Linked DNA regions of Danio rerio. The protein of the gene in region 1 purifies or fractionates together with the protein of each later gene. This does not show direct contact. Links are inferred from orthologs where the notes say so. Each region holds a gene or a part of one and is shown in the gene's direction. Other genes may lie near its edges. The genes, in order: eif4ea, eif3f and angel1.

Region 1 (4,146 bases):
AATTGTTACAAATTTATTTTGTGATTTTAGTTAATTTTTTTCACAATAAACCTTTGCAGTGTAAATGGCTTGATATAATTATTTTGAAGGTTTGAACAATAAGATCGTATTTATTGTCTGTTTTATTATGTAAAATGTTTATTAGAAAAGTCAGTTCAACTAGTTTGTCAATGATACTTATAACCACGTTTGATTATTTGGTTGTAATGAATTGATTTTAGTAAGATTGTCAATGTTTGTGAAAGTTTTGATTCTTAACATCAAATTGTCCAAGTTGCCTAAACAAATGAAAACCAAAATGTATGATTTGTAGTGATTCTTAAAACTAAAAGTAATATGAATCTGCCACAAAATAAATTAATGACTAAAAGTATATATTTGCCAAATAAAATAGGCTATAGTTAATATTGAACATTCAAAGATAATACAGTAAAATAATGCCAATGTTGACAATATGACTCTTAAAAACATTAAACCAAGTAAATTATTTCATTTAATGTGAGACAAATTGTCGCCTCACAACAAAAATGTCGCTGTTTCTGTTTCTGTGTAAAGAAGCATGTTCTCCCTGCGTTCGCGTGGGTTCCCTTCGGGTGCTCCGGTTTCACCCACAGTCCAAAGACATGCAGTACAGGTGAATTGTGTAGGCTAAATTGTCCATCGTGTATGAGTGTGATTTGGAAGTTTCCCAGAGATGGGTTGCAGCTGAAAGGACATCCGCTGCATAAAACATACTGGATAAGTTGGCAGTTTATTCCGCTGTGGCGACCCCAGATTAATCTAGTGACTAAGTCGAAAAGGAAATTAATGAATGAATGAGACAAATAATAAAAGTTTTTGTAATTACAAAATCTAAATAAAGCTCATATTACGTGTTTAAATGATTTTTTTCCATTTATAACATTCTTCTAAATTTTTGGGCAATGCTTCAGGTCAATTCAATGTTCTACAATTCGTTACAAATGTATTTTTGTGTCCGAAGCAAGATGATAATTTAATAAAAGTAGTTTTAAAAAGAATAATAATAAAAAAAAGAGTAGTTTGTAAAAGAGTTTTGGTATCATTGATTAAATATCTGTGAAGCACCTCGAAATAATATTTTTTTAAATAAAGTTTTTTAATTATTATTATTATTATCATTATTATTAAATTCCCATAGACATTTTTGGCAGTCATAAACAGACTGCCGTCCTCTGGGTGTCGCTGTCCGGGCGCGCGCTGCTCGCACACGAGTTCGCCTGAGTTTAGCCAATCAAATGTTGTTTTCACACACGGAAAGACCCTTCACATTTGTAGAAGATGGCGACTGCTGAACCGGTGAGTTAGTGTAACTGCTCTCACAAACACTACTGCACATACTTTAACGGCGGGGTTTAATCTGTAATACGAGTTTTATGTCGACCAGGGCTTGTGTATAAGCTAATTTGAATAAATATTCAAGTAGAGACAGATTTATATTCCATCATACAGTCAAATGAGCTGATGCCCGACTGTCGCACACATGCGTTTGAAGGAGACTGTTCAAAAGTGTGAAATAGTTGATGTTTTCTCTGAAATGGAGGGCTGTGGGCTGCTTGTTTTTTCAGAGAGTTGAACGTGGTGTTGAAGCATCTCTGTTATTTAGACTCGTAGTTTGCTGATGTGTCAATGAAAAGTATGTGGTTTGTTTTTAGCCTCTGTATGGACAGTAAATGAAACTTAATATAAGTAACGTTACATATTGCGATATTGTTAAAGGTTAACTTTGTATACTTTTAAAGATTTTTGTAATATAACCTTTAGTTTGTGAGTTAATATTATGTGTTTAGAAAGATTCATGTTTTAGTGTAATAACAATGAGAAGGTTGAAACTTAATGTTCATTCTTCCTCTGGAGAAACTCTGTTTCAAATATGGGCAGTTTTCTTTCATTAGGGTATATAAGCAGCTTTTGAGAACTTTTTTAACTAAATAACTTTTTGAACAGAACTTATAAGGTTAAATGATTCATCTAGCACCCATAAAGAAATTTACTTGTTATTGTTTTAAGTATTTATACCAATTTTTTTATTCACCATCAGGATTTTGTTGAAATGTTGTTTTGAAGTTATTCAGTTTCTGGAACTAAAATGGTGTCATAAGTCTGTTTATTTAATTAGACTATTTGATATATTTTTGTAATTAAGGTAAAACTGTTTTTATATTTACATATTTGGACTTTCTTTATATAATTTCAGAAACGTATTATTTGCAAATTCTAAATAGGGAAATCAGCAGTTAAACTATCAAAGCACAACATTGTTCACAGTGAATTAAATAGTGTTAATGTTGTTTAGAAGTCATACGTGCATGCTAATTCCGATTGAATATTCAATGTAATATGGTAACCAATATAGACACTGCTAAATGAATAAATGTGTGAATTTAAACCAACTTAACCTCTATCAGTTTTCTTTCATTAGGGTATATAAGCAGCTTTTGAGAACTTTTTAACTAAATAACCTTTTGAACAAAACATATTAGGTTAAATTATTCATCTAGTAGCACCCATAAAGAAATTTACTTGTTATTTTTTTAAGTATTTATACCCATTTTATTTATTCACCCTCAAGATTTTGTTGAAATGCTGTTTTGAGGTTATTCAGAGTTTCTGAAACTAAAATGGTGCCATAAGTCTGTTTATTTAATTAGATTATTTTATATATTTTTGTAATTGAGGTAAAAAAGTTTTTTATATTAGCATATTTGGATTTTCTTAATATAATTTCAGAAAAGTATTATTTGCCAATTCTAAATGGGGACTTTATATTAGTAGTCAAGGACTGTATTAAATGAACGAATGTGCGGATATAAATCCAACTTTACCTCAGTATTTTGTAGCGTATACAGTGTGATCTAGGCAGGTGACGATCACCGTTTTCAAGGTATACCACGGTTTGGAAAAGTCAAGGTTTTAAAACTGTCAAAATTTTCTGTAATACCGCACCGTGTAAGATTTTTTATTTACTTTTTGTTTGTTTTTGAAGACAACAGTTTCTCAAGCTGGAAAGATATCCAAAGATTCATGTCTATGATTCATTTTCATTATATATCTTGACATGTTTACTGCTCCAGATTTGTAAAAAATCTTTCAAAAAATAAAATATATTGTTTTCAAAAAGGAAAAAAAAATTAAAGCAGTAATCGAAATACCGTGATACCTGGAAACCATGATATTTTTATCCAAGGTTATTACACCGTCAGAATCATATACCGGCCAATGCCTTGTCTGGTAATGTAGTGTGTATTAGGCAGAGCTAATGGAAAAGTATTAGTAAGTAATAGTGCTCACTTTAAGCCTGATAATACATTCCAGGGAGTTTGACCTGGCTTAGTTTTTAGTACTAGGACAAAACTTTGCTAGTGCTTCAATATGAAAATGCTAGTTATTTATGTTTAATGTTATTTACATTAGTGCCAAAAAGCTTTTGAAAAAATTTAAGTCCTTTTTTTATTTCTTCGACTCATTTAGGACTAGATTTTGTTAATAAATTCTAATATTTATGCATATACCATTATAACATGTTTCATCTGAAAGAGAATGCTTTTGAAAGTGGAAAGCCAGAGTAATTTTCTTATTATTTTCATTATTTGTATTTTTTGTTCATTTTTTTTTTTTTTTTTGTTAGGGCCATTGCTCACTCGTGGGGGCTTTTGTCACCCGTTTAGAAAGTCATTAACAATACAAAAAAAAAAAAAAAAAAAATCTGATTGCTCTCTTAATAGCGTTTTCTCATTTTAAAACAAAAAACTGCATAGACCAGTGGTTCTCAAACTGTGGTACGCGGGCTGCCTTCTAGTGGTACGCAGAGTAATCCGATATGCCATATCTACATGCAACAGATATTTAAATATTTATAAAAAATGACTCGTATATGAATATGATGACATATAGCCTATATTTATGAGGTCCAAGCAGCATTTCCAGGCTTTTATACTACAGGTGAACACTTTACATTTAAGTACAGGTGTTTTTTCTTTACTTTTTAAGAACAGTAGCCTACCATTTTTAATTAACTTTTAAAATTACATTTTAATTTAAACATTGAAATTTTATTTATTTGTTTTTTTACACATAAGCACAGCAGTGTTAATGTTCAAACTTTTTTTTTTTAAACTGCAGAACTGT
Region 2 (4,444 bases), on another chromosome or scaffold:
TATTTTGATGTAAAAATATCAACAGGCAGTGTCAATATAACTCAGCGTTTCCATCTGAAACTTAAAATTAAGGCACCACCAGTAGTCCAAAATGCATGTTGTTTTTTTAAATAACAAAGATTTTTCAAATGTTTCCAAAGACATAATGTAAATAATGTCTCTCACTGAAATTACATTAAGTGCCCACACTTTTTCCTATGAAGGGCTTGATTGAGGGTGGTGGGCCGAATGTAAACATACCAAACTCTATTTCATTAAAGTTGCATTGGTGGTTTCCTAATTTAATATTTAAAAATAACTTTAACATTGCTTCATATTATCTTATGCAGATTTTATTATATAATGAACTTCATTCATTAATTCATTTTCTTGTCGGCTTAGTCCCTTTATTATTCCAGGGTCGCCACAGCGGAATGAACCGCCAACTTATCCAGCAAGTTTTTTATGCCAGCCGCAACCCATCTCTGGGAAACATCCACACACACACATTCACACACGCACTCATACACTACGGACAATTTAGCCTACCCATTTTACTGCATGTCTTTGAACTGTGGGGGAAACCCACACAAAGGCAGGGAAAACATGCAAACTCCACACAGGAACGCCAACTGAGCCGAGGTTCGAACCAGCGACCTTCTTGCTGTGAGGCGACAGCACTACCTACTGCGCCACTGCCTCACCTGTATAATGAACTTTTTATAGTAAAACAAAATTCATTTAAAACAGAATGGAGTTACACTAGTAAAGCTGCACCCTCTGCCTTGACTTGTTTATTTTCATTTACCTTTTTTTTGTAGATCAGCAATAAAATAATCAAACAAACCAAGGTTGCGTTAAATTAGAAATTAAGATCTCTGTTAAAGGCAATTGTCCCAACCCTCCCTATCAGTCTCTCTTCTCAGATGGGATGGTGGGCCAAATCAAAGATTATCAAGGGCCAAGTTTGGCCCACATGCCCTAGATTGGATACCTCTGGCCTAAATGATATGTTATTACAACAACTAGGCCTATAGCAAAACAAGTTGCCCAATAGCCTGTGGTTAGTTATATATTAGGCTACATGATAATACATCACAATTTACTGTTGTAAAACTAAAATATACTACAGTTGCCTACACAGTTTATTATAGATAATGCAGTAGCATTTATTAGCATGTGTTGTTAACTTAATACTTTATAGTATAGGCCTACAGTATAATAAACTTTACTATCATTTGTTTCAAAAACACTATCGTAGCCAATTTACTATGAATTACTCCATTATCTTTTCATGTGCGTTGTCTTGGCCATGTTTTCATCATGTCTAAATGTTTTGGATTGCTGCCATGTGGTTAGCTGATCCGATTTTTGGCATTAACATGCAGTTGTGTTGCTATTAAATTGTCCATTGAAAAAATGGATATGTACCAAGCAAACCTCGAAGAACTTTAACCTGACCCACCCACTAAAACTTTACATGCTGTGTTTAATTATTTATTTGATTATAATTTTTTACACATTATTTTGTCAGCCACCTACATCCGCTAGGGGGCGGCAGCGCGAATCCCACTGACGCGCTCTTCTTCTCTGTTTATCATCATCTTTTACTTCCTCTTCGAAATCATGGCGGTGCACGGCCCGGTCGTGAAAATCCACCCGGTGGTTTTGGCTTCGATTGTGGACTCATACGAGCGCAGGAATGAAGGAGCGAGTCGCGTGATCGGGACATTATTAGGTGGGTCATTGAATTCTTGTGTGAGATTTATGAGACAGTTGCGATTATTACAAACAACATGAGCGTCGCTTGGTCTTGTGGAGCATGTGTTGTAGTCGAGCTGAATGGCTGGGGTGGATGAGAAACTGTACAGATCAGCAGCATCACTTACCTGGTGGTTGTGTTTGTGTGTCAAACAGGAACAGCAGATAAACATTCAGTCGATGTCACCAACTGCTTCTCTGTTCCTCACAACGAGTCTGAAGATGAGGTGAGAAAAAAAGCATCATCTAATACATCCTTTACATTAGTGTGTGCCAGACATTTATGTAGCTTTTTAGGCATAACGAAAAACAAAACAATTTCACATCACAGGTATCTCACTGTAACTTTGTAATGGTCTAAAGGGTTCGAGTGAGACATCTGTGGTATTTCATGTTCTGTTGTTATGCATCTTTAGCTAATTGATTGGTTGAAATACACTTACAAACCATCAGCCAAAATTGAAGTGAGGTAAAGTTGATTTTATATTTGCACATTCAGACTTTCACCTTCTTAATGTAATTTCAGAAAGGTATTCTTTGTCAAATCCTAAACGGTCAACTCAAATTAACAGCCAGTGACTATTAAAGTACAACATTGTTTACAGTCAGTTAAATGGTGCTAATGTGGATTTAAAGTAGGCATGGGCCGGTATACAATTCTGACGTTAATATTCTTTAATATAAATATCACATTTTCACAGTATTACATAGTGATTACGGCTCTGCTAAATGGTAGCGCTCCAGTTTTTTTTTTTTTTTTTACTGTTTACAAACTGGTAATTCATCTATAGCAGATAATTTTGGCGGTTTTAAAACATCAGTTTTTTTTTTAAATCACTGTGTACCTTGAAAACGGTTATCGTCCCATGCCTATTTTGAAGTCATGCATTTCAGACCGATTATTCAATGTAGCCTGGTAAACAATGTAGGGACCTTTCATAGAGTTCATAAGCTTTTTTTTTTTTTTTTTAACTATAACAATTTGCTAATTTATCTGTATTAGCCTTTTCCCAGAGATGGGTTGCGGCTTGAAGGGCATCCTCTGCTTAAAAACTTGATGGATAAGTTGGCGGTTCATTCTGCTGTGGCGACCCCGGATTTATAAAGGGACTAAGCCGACAAGAAAATGAATGAATCTGTATTAGCCTCTTTAAAATTTGCTTTACTATTTTATTGAACACGAGTGTCTGAATGTTCAAATATAAAACCAACTTAATTCAAAAGTGTCATGTTACATGCTACTGTATTTTTGGACATGTACCATATGTTATTTATGCTTTACTAAGGAGCACCAGCATTTAATCATCATCATTGTGCAATTTATTTACCTTTTAAAATTATTTTTATTTTATTTTTTTTAAATAGGTGGCTGTTGACATGGAGTTCGCCAAGAACATGTATGAGCTTCATAAGAAGGTTTCGCCGAGTGAAGTCATTGTTGGATGGTATGTGGCCGCATTTCCAAATTAATATAATTCTTTTCTTTGCTAAAGTTTTGTTAAGTTATTGTTGTAAGCACATTTTTTGTTATATTTTTAGAAGGTTTAGAAACTTTTGTGAACATTTGTTATTTTTCATTTAATGCATTTTGCTTTGCGCTATGGTAAAATAACTAAAATAAGAAAATTAAATAAAATGATATTTTTTTCTCCTACAGTCCCATGATTTATTTTTGCAGCCATTTTAAATGTATATCTCATGTTTACAAGTTTATATTTCACAATTCAGATATTCATTTCATTTTCATTTGTTGTTCTTACAGTTCAGTTTATATTGCTACTCTTTTTTTTAAGTATATTTGCCTTTTATTCCATTGTAAAAGCAAGCTTCCATTAGGCCTGTCACGATATATCTAGTTTTTGTTGTACGGTATATTGCACCAAAATACATTGCGATAAATGATTTTATTGTGATTTTAATACCATTCTATGCCACTCATTATATAATACCAGAATGACAATATAATATCACCACAATGCAAGTACACTCATACAAAGAACACATAATATTTTATTGTTAAGACTATTTAATTTAGTTATCCTATGGCTTTGGAATGAGATTGTAAAAACGCATATCATAAATAATAATAAATGTTAACAAAAAGGTGCAAGGCAAAAAGTAACAGAAGCTGTGATATCTGCTAGCAGATCTATTTTTAGTTGTCAGACACCCACATGAAAATCTTCTATAGCAATTTATAGTAAAACCTGTAGAGCTTTTTAAACCATACTGACACCTCAATAGAGATCGAGATGTTGCAAAACCAGCTGAAATGTTGCTAGAATTCATTTTTATGTATGGGCGATATATATTGCATCACTAAAAATGTCTGAGGTCATGTCAATATAATATGACACGGCTTATCAATGCGATAAGTTCATATATTGATTACTGTGACAGGGTAGCTTCCATAATGTAGGTTATATCTATATATCAAAAAAGAATAATTATACAGGTAACAGAATTATTAGAACTTAAAATGGAAAATATTACAAAAATGACTATCTAAAATATTTCAAAATATAATAATAGAATCTGATTTCAGATAAACTTAAGGAATGTTGTTTCACTGAAGAAAGAGGCTGTGTTGTTTTTGCAGGTATGCCACAGGATTTGACATCACTGAGCACTCGGTTCTGATCCATGAGTATTACAGCAGAGAGGCTCCAAACCCTATTCACCTCACTGTGGACACGGCACTGCA
Region 3 (2,667 bases), on another chromosome or scaffold:
AGCTTGCGATGGACCTGCTCGACATGCTACTAAACATTCAAGCATTAACACAGAACTGCACGCTTTCTGACAAATAAGACGATAAAAAGTCACGTTTGTGCAAAAGTCACAGATTATTACATTTAACAAGCGATTACTCTAGATCTTAAAGAGCTATTAAGGAAGTTGTTATTTCGATCTTCACACTTATTAGGGTCATTGTTGAAGACACGTCCTGGAATATGCTCTGATTTTTATGCTCTATTTTTTTCAGACCTAAGAGACATGTTTAGTCTAAGGTGAGTTTCATTTATTTATTTATTTTCCCTCAAAGTTATTCTTTTTCTGCAAATGTGAAGTTCATCCAGGTAGCACAAATGTTTTGCAAATCAATGCAAAGTTGAAATCAAATCACTTTTATAATCACATCATCATCATCATCATCATCAGCAGCACACGTGTGCTATAATGAGCTGAGTTACTCTGAAAGATCCTCTGGCAAACACTAAATTACAAATATTTTGTGAGCAAATGCTTTTTGTAATGGGAAAGCAAAAACTTTGGGCATCAACACTTTTTGTGTTCATGTTCTGGTTTTGTCTTTCTTAGTTTGACGTCATCCCTGCTGAAAAATCCAGCTTAATGTTAACATAATGCAAACTTTTGTGCAAGTGAGTGGAGATATTTAGTGGTAAACTGGTGAAAACAAAACTCATCATCTCCAAAATCATAGCATAAACGTAAAGACAAAAAGTAAACCAAAAATACTTTTATATAATTAATATCATAATTGTATTTTAATATTTGGGTTCATGCTGAAATCAGCTGTACGTAAAGGTTAAAGGTATTACAGGTTAAAGTCTTTATAATTTTCTACTCTTCTGCACATTTAGTGTAAATAATTGTCTAGGGGCAACTCAAATGCTAAACTCTGACTGTATTTTGGCAGGTTCAGTCCTTCTTTACGTCACAGGTTGAGTCTGACGTCTGCTTACAGTCATATTCATCCCGAAACACTGACTGATCTGGTCACGACACTGAACTCTGAAGGAGCTGCCATGGTCGACTACATCTTCTACTCCCAACGGCAGAAGAGCGGCTTCAACGGAGGCGGAGGTATCATCATTCATTCAGCTTTAGTCCATTATTTATCAGAGGTTTGCACAGCGGAATGAACCGCCAACTATTCCTGCATAGTTTCACGCAGCTGATGCCCTTCCAGCTGCAACCCAGTACTGGGAAACACCCATACACTCTCACATTCACACCATATGGCCAATTTAGTTCATCCAATTCACCTATAGCGCATGTAGGGTTGGGTATCGTGGATAGTGGTTCTAAATCGATGCTTTTAAAATGGTACCGGTGCCAAAACGATGCCTGAACAGATACTTTGGAGCCACAAAATGATGGTGGATGACTGGAAAAATCTAACAAAAATAAAAAATAATAATTTAAATTGAACTTTGAAGTTTAAAATATACACCAATTCCTATTTAAATTACATTATATTATTTTATATAATAATTTTTGGCCATTTGTTTGTTAGCATGATTTTAAGATTAGCATTTTGCAGCTAACATTACATTAAGAGTGTGTGTCGAGTGTGTTCTGTGACTCTGCTGTATTTATTGGTTGTATTTTTAAAGTATGTTGCACATAGTTCTGTATTTATTGTCTGACGAGTGTGCTTGTGTTTTTCAGAGAGCGCTGGTGGTCTGAAACTGCTGGCTCGTCTGTCTCTGCTGTCTGAAGCTCATCTCTGGTCTCTGCGAGGTTTACCCAATGAAAGCTTCCCCTCTGATCATCTCAGCCTGCTGGTCAAACTTCAGCTCAGCTCAGCGGATATATGACCACGCTAGCACTCGTCTTCTTTATTATTTTAACTGCCTTTGTATTGTAAATCGCACAAAGAAAATCAGTTTTGGTCAGATCAGTATTTTGTTGTGTATTCAGAATTTTCAGTGTATGTGTGTTAATTACAATCTACCATGTGAGGAAACCTGACACGGCGTGTATAATTGACTGTTCCTAATTAATAAATCATAATTATACACTTGGTTTGTTTGGATTATTGGATGTTATATTGAATGCACCTGAATGAATAAGTGAATGTGCTGCTGTTGGTTTTGCTAACTGAACAATCAGTTCAACCCTGCAGTAAATAAACACTAATAAATAAACTCCAGCTGGTCCTAAACGCAGCACCGCGATCATATCAGTCCAGTTCTGTCAATTTTCTTTTGAAAAATATCTTTACAAAGCCTCAATCACTAAGAAAAAGACTATGATAAGCTTGTTTTGTTCTATTATTCTTAATAAATTTAAGAGATTCAACAATTAATGAGAATATTAAGTCTAGGTATTGTCTCTAGGAACTCATTTTTGTGTAAAAATGTGCAACATAATTAAAAAACCTTAACGATAAGATTGAGAACATGATCGGTCCCGGAAAATTCAATTCAGCTTTATTTGTATAGCGCTTTTACAATGTAGATTGTGTCAAAGCAGCTTCACACAAATGGTCATAGTAACTGGATCAGGTTAGTTCAGGTTTAGTGTTTAAGTTCAGTTTAGCTCAGTTCAGTGTGGTTTGAAGTCTTTATTGAGAGTCCAAACACTGAAGAGCAAATTCATCGATGAGTAGCTTTTCAGATCCTGAATCATGCAAGCCAGAGGCGACAGCGG

What was found.
Region 2: the proteins of eif4ea (region 1) and eif3f purify together in Homo sapiens (affinity purification with mass spectrometry; 3 studies listed by BioGRID and IntAct, with this or other methods). This does not show direct contact. The link is inferred for Danio rerio from reciprocal best matches to the Homo sapiens genes EIF4E and EIF3F.
Region 3: the proteins of eif4ea (region 1) and angel1 purify together in Homo sapiens (affinity purification with mass spectrometry; 3 studies listed by BioGRID and IntAct, counting the BioPlex papers as one, with this or other methods). This does not show direct contact. The link is inferred for Danio rerio from reciprocal best matches to the Homo sapiens genes EIF4E and ANGEL1.

The regions. Positions count from the first base shown.
Region 1 is NC_133189.1:48,179,036-48,183,181, reverse strand, and holds the start of eif4ea (eukaryotic translation initiation factor 4E-1A), read left to right. Parts: upstream 1-1,299; coding exon 1,300-1,317; intron 1,318-4,146. UniProt on the Homo sapiens protein: Acts in the cytoplasm to initiate and regulate protein synthesis and is required in the nucleus for export of a subset of mRNAs from the nucleus to the cytoplasm which promotes processes such as RNA capping, processing and splicing.
Region 2 is NC_133176.1:11,701,599-11,706,042, forward strand, and holds the start of eif3f (eukaryotic translation initiation factor 3 subunit F), read left to right. Parts: upstream 1-1,578; 5' UTR 1,579-1,605; coding exon 1,606-1,717; intron 1,718-1,896; coding exon 1,897-1,967; intron 1,968-3,105; coding exon 3,106-3,185; intron 3,186-4,339; coding exon 4,340-4,444. UniProt on the Homo sapiens protein: Component of the eukaryotic translation initiation factor 3 (eIF-3) complex, which is required for several steps in the initiation of protein synthesis.
Region 3 is NC_133192.1:58,746,957-58,749,623, forward strand, and holds the end of angel1 (protein angel homolog 2), read left to right. Parts: exon of another isoform or gene 1-253; coding exon 254-278; intron 279-928; coding exon 929-1,095; intron 1,096-1,683; coding exon 1,684-1,832; 3' UTR 1,833-2,038; downstream 2,039-2,667.